Tribolium castaneum: one gene and its partner. The protein of the gene in region 1 binds, or shares a complex with, the protein of each later gene. Links are inferred from orthologs where the notes say so. Each region holds a gene or a part of one and is shown on either strand. Other genes may lie near its edges.

Region 1 (3,652 bases):
TGTGTTAAAGACGGTCGCTTATATTCTATTTGTTTAAATAAAAATTACTTATGTAGTTGTAAAAAAACTATATTTTATAATTTAATTAGCAAAGAATACATTTGCACTAATATATAACTTTTAATCGTTAGTTAGATTGGCCCTATCTCTTGCGTTATTACATAAATTTATCCCGTAAATGTTAATATTTCATTAATTAATTGCTGTTGTACTGAAAACTGCTTGAAATTGTATTTACCTAACTTAGTAGCTTTTACCATTTAAGTAGTAGTATTGAGTAGTATTTATCTTTAAAAAACGAAATTTTTTAGCTAAATATTTGGATAAAGAGTAAGGCATTCAAAGATTCCGGTTAAATAAGTTATTTTTCGGGCTAGTGAAAAATTAAATTAAGATACTGCGTTTTTGCTTAGGACCGTCGAATTGTCTAGCAATATTTATTTGAGTGTGGAAAAGTGCAGCTTTTGTGTTGGAATTCCTTACCGAATTTTAGAAATCTTGTGTTCAAATCGGCAATAAAATTGATTCTATCTTGAATTTTTATTTTCTAAAAATGAACAATAAATAAATTGGTTATAGAAAATGTTATTTCAATTTTTATTTTAGATGTTTCGATCAAAAAGCAAAAATTATATTTATTTGAATTTTTATTTAATTATTTTTAGAGGAAAATATTACGTATTTAATAACAATCGCTGGTTTCTGTGTAATTATCAGTTTTTGAGATGCTTTTAGCTGTCCCACTTTGTATACACATAATTTATGTGGAATAAAAAAACAATGAATTAATTATTCTTTTAGACATTACATTGTCACTTTGTGATAATCACTAAAATTACTTGATCGTGTAAAAATAAAGTAAAATAAATATAATAAAACAGTTTTATGGAACAAAGAAATGGATTAAAAATTACTGAATTTTCCTAAAAAGTTATTGGACTAAAGATATAGGAGGAGAATAATGTTTAATTAAATTTTTAACGAAGAAATAAAAATAGAGCCGTGGCTTACATTTAATGAAATAAAAACTTATCAGAATAAAAAAATCTTCAGCTAGATTTATTAAGTAAATTTTACAAACAACAGTATTGCATTTTTCGTAATACATTAAATAACGAAGGGAGCACGTGACATCCACTTCAAAGTTGGTTTCAAAAAGAAAGAATTTGAAACAAATTAAAAGCGAAATCTTACCTTGTGGGGTTTTGTCACTTTTTTACCAGAAAGATAATTTAAAGTGCAGTCACAACTGTTCTTATAATTATTTAATCAACTATTATATTAAATTATTATGAATTTTATTTGGCAAATCCAATTAAAAGACGTCGGTAATTCTAATTATAATAAACAACGAATTTTATTCAATTAATTACAAAAAAAAGAGCATAAGTTGTCTTTTAGCGTTTGCTTTTAATTTTATATATTTTTATATTTTATTTATACTGAAGTATTTCTAAGAAGAATATGCATTTGCATCCCTTTAATACATTTCTGGTCACTTAATCCTTGAGGTCCAATTTTCAGCGAGACTTTCCAGGTTTTTTAGAATTTGAACATTGTTATCAGGAGCGGACTGCGCGATCACTTGCATCGACTCGACATTTTCGGGCGTTTCGCACGAAAACTACAGTAAAGCGTACCTAGACCGCGAAAAAGACGACGAAGGAATTAGCATCGACGAGGATTTCAAATGGACTCGTTACGGCATGGTGGTGGCCGGCTTCCAAGACGGTTCAATCCGAGTGTTTGACCGCCGTTGCAGCCCCACAGAGGCCCGAATCGCCGTGTTTATGGAACATTCCGGCCCGATTTTAGGCGTCCACTTACTCGGAAACACATTTTATAGTGGAAGGTAATTCACCAATTTATTATTGAATTTTTCTAACGGAAAGTAATAGCACCGACGGCCACGTCCGAGTCTTCGACGTGCGCAACCACAGGGTTGTGCACACGACCCAAGCCATCCAGAACAACATGTCCTGCTTTGCGCTGCATCGGGGGACCGCCACCTACGCCTGGTATGTTAGCGGTGGTGGAGTTTGAGTTATTGTGTTGTTGGTTTCAGCGGGTCTCTGAACCAAAATGTGAGCATTTACGGGTTCAACGGGTGTCTCCTGAACACGATCAAGTTCTACGAGGGCTTCATGGGCCACCGTACCGGCAACGTCACGTGCCTGAACTACCATCCGCTGAAGGTGGCGCTGGCCACAGGCACGTCCGACTGCTCGGTGAGCGTCTACTGTTTGGAAGGTAAAAGGTGACGCGATTCCCAGCCCTAGAGCTCGGTCTGGAGCCTCTTGGGCTACTACTATTAGCGGAAATTTTGCTTTGCGCTTCGGTTTTACTGTAAATATTTTACGTTGGTAACTTGAAATTTTATCGTGTATATAGAATTTTAATTGAAACGCTTTATTGTAGCTATTAACCGAGTAATAGTACAGTACAGGGAATTTTGTTGTTAGTTTTTTAAGACTGATTGTTGTTTTACGAATTAGGGCGGGTAGGCCTACGCAACCGTAGGGTGATTCATACGTAGATGTGACCAGTTGTTAAGTAATTCTAAGCGAACGTTTCGATTTTTTTTATTATTGTGATACAAGCAATGCAGCAGAGAGAGAGAATGTTCGTCGTTACATTGTACTCAAGTTTAATTTTTTAGAGTGAATCTTTTTTTATCAAACGGACCGATCCGTTGAGTTACCTGAACTCTCGATAATTCTTTATACACTGGCACAACATTTGCACAAAAGTCCGATTGTTGGGGGTTCTTTTTTATAAAATCGTTTAATTGTGGCATAAGTCTTTTAATTTACAATTATAAAATAAATAAAATATATCACAACAAGCGTATCAAACGTTATCATAGTATGACATTTTCCTCTCACTTGTTCCCTTGTCGATCAGCGGAATTTGGCAGTCGTTCGTTTTGCTCGAATCGGTCTCACTGATGTTGTCCACGCTTTGGCACACTTTTAAATGATCGAAGTCGATCGTTTGCCGCCAAATATTGAAAATGTGCGGCTTGACGTTCATCAGAGTCACTTTTTTGTTCGTTTTGTTGAACGTTTTCACGAGATTATCGATTGTCTGGAACAAAACGTGGTCACAATTATTTCAAATACGTTTTATCCAAGCACCTGACAAGCTGCATAATCGACTCGTATAATATTTGAACAATCAAGGACGATGGGTAAATTACGCCTGTTATTATAGGCTTCAATTACGTTGGTTGTTAAGTAATCGGTTGCAGCGTAATAAAGACCGACTTCCGGCTTTATATAAATGTATTGGTTCCCCTGGTTGTCCTAAAACATTTTGAGTTCGAGTGATTACATTTTTCACAACTTACGACTCGAATTTCTTTGGTTATTTGGGGCCGTGCCCACACTTTTAACAAAATCAACAAATTTAAAAGCCCACCCGCGATAATTCCAATCTCGACACCGTAACACACTCCAATGGTTAGTGTTGCCAAAGTCAGGAAAAAATCAAACTCTAAACGAAAAAATTAGTCGGTTCCGTTTTTTTTTTTTGGCAACTCACTGTTACATTTCCACAGTTTGGGGAAAATTTCGTAGTCAAACATTGTGATAATCGCCGATATCAAAATAGCGGCGAGAGTCGACCTTGGGATGTAATAAAAATACGGTGT
Region 2 (3,533 bases), on another chromosome or scaffold:
AAACTCGTCGCATCGTTCAATTCTTCACTATCCAATTGTTTTTTCAAAGACTAAAAGCGCTTCGATACACACAAAAACATAAATATTTAATACATACCTCTGGTAAAACGTAATCAGTAGAACACTTTTTCTCATTTGGTGTGACCACTGGACTTGTTTTAAAATAAGAATACAAAATATAATATTGCACCACGAGAGTCACTATAATACCAATTAAAAAAGATATAAAAACTAGGAACATGAACAAAAATATATCCATAGCGCTTTAAATTATATTATCACCATTTTTAGGCCCGTTTTGTTCGAAATAACACAAAGTGGAGTCAGTTTACCATTTTATAGCCCCCTTGTGCTTATCTCATATATGATAAGCGTCAAAAAAAGCCAAACATGATTTTCCTTTTTCTGTTTTTTTCTCAAGAGGGTAATGACACTCACAGCTGACAGGTGACGGTTGAGGTTATGTAACGAGGGTACGTTCCCAAATCATAACGCAAAAAAATAATTTATGAATTTATTATTATATTTTAGTATACAAGTTACTTAAATCAACGCTTTTTTCTTATAATATTTCCGTTCTTGCGCTGCCAAATACTCCTTCCGTGTGTCACTAGACCTCAAATCCAAAATCAGGTTTATTTTATTTACGATTTCTTCGGCAATTGATTGGTCTGCCTCAAATTCGTAACTTTTGAAGCTAGCTGAAGATTGTAAAGTTGGACTTGAAACTAGAAAAACAATTAAATAATCAAGAAAATTAAATAATTACAAAAAATACCATTTTCAGCGTTTGCGAACGAATGGCTGTAAATGATTTTGAAAGTCATTTTGTTGCTTTTGGTAGTTTCAATGGGTTCGCACCACGCGATCATGTCCATATCGTGGTTTATGGGTTTTTGTTTAACTAGAACAAATTTCGAGTTTTTTTGCACTGGGTCAATTTCGATTTTTTCGCCACTTATTCCTAAATGTATTTCAACTTTGGCCCGCATTTTATTAATCATGTAGACTTTGAACGATTTGTACAGTGGGGCTTCCATTGCTTTTTTATGAACGTCCATTAAGTGTAAATCGGTGGTGATTTGTTTTTCCTGGTCTTGTTTAGACGAATCTAAAGAAAAAATTTAAATTTTAAACCAAAATGTGGCAAAAGCGAACCTTTTCCTTTTTTGTCATTGTAATCGAATTTTCTGATTGTAACAGTTTCAGAGTTCCCAAAACTGACACACTTTGAGGGATCTGAATGTTCCACAAGCCCTAAACAAGCAAACCCAAATTTGGCAATATTTTCCCTCGGGTCCAAGTTGGGGAAGTCCCTATCCACTTCTCCGTCTTCTTCAGTTATGTACAAACCGTAATTGTTTACGGGCTTCCAAGGATAGTCTTCATACATTGTACTTAAAAATTTTGTTTTTCAATTATTTCATTTCCTGGTCAAAGTGGCCTGTGACTTTGAAATCAAGTTGGCAACATTTTAACGCTTAGCCAATAGCGTGCAACTATGTCATCAGTAACTTAGAATATTGCCAACCTAACTTCAGGATCAAGTTAACAAACCTGCATTTGAGTAATATAAGTCCAATCAACTCTTGAATTTTAGCAGAAGAGGTGCAACAAACAGCCAAGGGGTAATTCCTCTGGTGCTCTGGTAGCATTGTTAGGAAAATTCTATACTTCTTCACTTGAAGATTGACTTGTCCGCTGCCATCAAACTTGGCATAATCCATATAAGGGTTAATGGGCATCATCTTATGCTCCTTGAAGGTTTTAGAAAACAAAGATTGCTTCGGTTCTATTACTTTGGGTTCCTTTTTTACGAATAACTGATCAATTTGTTCCTCACTCAACTCGTTCTTGTTCGTTTCCCATTTAATATGTTTGATTCTGCCAGTTCTCTTTTTAACCTGTTCTAATTTTTCTAATCTTACGGCAGTATTCGATCTGTATCGTAACGGGAAATCGGTGTCAAGTTGTAGGTCGTAAGATTCGTGAGACAAATCATCTTCATCTTCACTGTCTTCGTCATCAGGGTACGAATCAAGGCTTTGCTTCAGGTGTTTCCTGACACCTTCCTCCCCTGTCATTATTAACTCGCACATTCCTAAAACTTTGTTAATCGAGTGTGATTTTGAAACCTAGCCAAACCTGTATCATCTGTAGAAATGAAAGAGTTGCGTATGTGTGATAATAACCAGTATTTGTTGTCGTAAAGGGCCATCGTGTCTGATGTAAACATTGACAAGTTAGGTTATGTAAGAACTTGACATAACGCTCATTATTGTTAGATAATAGGCGACAACGCTTTTTTTGAGCATATTTTAATATTTTAAAACGTGTCGTTTTATCAAAAAATCAAACACTTTTCGATATCATTGGCCCCAATTGCTAAATTTTTGAAATTTGGTTCATATTGGGAGCACTGTCTACACACAACAAAATCACTAAAATTGTCACTAGAAAAAGTGTTGTGTGGGTGCTGGGTGTTGTTGTCTTGTGAACCTGTCGTTTATTTTGTGTTTATTTACTGGTTTTAAATAATAAAATTATGTTTTTTTCAACATAAACACACCTCCCCGTTGTTGCTTCATGGTGCATATGATTTTAATGAATGTAACGAAAAAACCGCAATCCAGTTGTCTCAAAGATGGGTTTCTTGAGTTCTTGGAGGTTGGGACCAATTTCTGTTTTCTTGGGTAAGTCCTACTTCCGGTTTCGTACACGTTTTGGCTTTTTATAAAAGTAGTTGATTTGTATCTTTTGTTATTTAAATTTCCTTGATACAAAAATTAGAAAGGTTTTGGAACAATAACTGTTTCTGCAATGTGAGAAGATGAGGTGAGTCACACCGATTTAGGCCTCCGTTTCTCAGAAAAATGATTAACTCGGACGAAAAGTTTATTTTTGAGAGAAATTATGGCAAGGACATGGGGAGAGTTTTATGACCCAGCTTGCCATGACAACTCAAAGTCAACTGTGATTGATCATTACCTAATTTTTCTGTATGCAGTTTATTGACAAATAAATAAATCACACATTTTTTTCATAAATTTTGTTGGTTCCATACAACAAACAACCCCAAAATTAGGCTTGGTAGGTTTGGAACAAAATTCAACAGGTGTCCAGACAGGTGTTCCACCTGTGCCTAATTATGAATTTTTTGAATTATAAACAATTCTCATATAATGATGAAGTAATGAAATCGTACTTTTTACAGACTAGGCAAATAAATATAGGGCAAAATTCAATCAAGTCGGTTTAGTCGTCATGGCTACGGTGAACTATAAGCTAGGAGACGAAACGAGATTTTCTGGACCCGAAAAAATAGTACAACATTGTAAAAATGAGGGCGTTTCGAGCGTTATATCGTCTCAGTACCAAATCGTTTTAAATTAATTTAAATCCAACCAATTCACTAATTACTTGGAAAACATCAGGAACGTTAAGCTTTGCACTCTTAACAGACAGAAAAACTAACTATTAAAATTTTTATAAGAAACATAAGAAAAAAAATTAAAATTTTAAATTTGCGGTTT

Evidence for each region. The genes of interacting proteins can lie anywhere in the genome.
Region 2: raptor (region 1) and Sin1 share a complex: the UniProt entries of both Homo sapiens proteins name them as parts of the mechanistic target of rapamycin complex. The link is inferred for Tribolium castaneum from reciprocal best matches to the Homo sapiens genes RPTOR and MAPKAP1.

What each region holds. Positions count from the first base shown.
Region 1 is NC_087399.1:3,459,722-3,463,373, reverse strand, and holds the end of raptor (regulatory-associated protein of mTOR), read left to right. Parts: intron 1-1,524; coding exon of another isoform or gene 1,525-1,553; exon of another isoform or gene 1,554-1,566; coding exon 1,567-1,852; intron 1,853-1,898; coding exon 1,899-2,018; intron 2,019-2,065; coding exon 2,066-2,261; 3' UTR 2,262-2,850; downstream 2,851-3,652. Other genes in the region: sodium-independent sulfate anion transporter, read right to left, coding at 2,851-3,087, 3,138-3,305, 3,350-3,495, 3,544-3,652. UniProt on the Homo sapiens protein: Component of the mechanistic target of rapamycin complex 1 (mTORC1), an evolutionarily conserved central nutrient sensor that stimulates anabolic reactions and macromolecule biosynthesis to promote cellular biomass generation and growth.
Region 2 is NC_087397.1:9,927,726-9,931,258, forward strand, and holds Sin1 (target of rapamycin complex 2 subunit MAPKAP1), read right to left. Parts: upstream 2,307-3,533; 5' UTR 2,237-2,306; coding exon 2,146-2,236; intron 2,102-2,145; coding exon 1,558-2,101; intron 1,398-1,557; coding exon 1,159-1,397; intron 1,112-1,158; coding exon 779-1,111; intron 729-778; coding exon 544-728; 3' UTR 501-543; downstream 1-500. Other genes in the region: Pdzd8 (PDZ domain-containing protein 8), read right to left, coding at 1-50, 98-259; crb (protein crumbs), read left to right, coding at 2,645-2,693. UniProt on the Homo sapiens protein: Component of the mechanistic target of rapamycin complex 2 (mTORC2), which transduces signals from growth factors to pathways involved in proliferation, cytoskeletal organization, lipogenesis and anabolic output.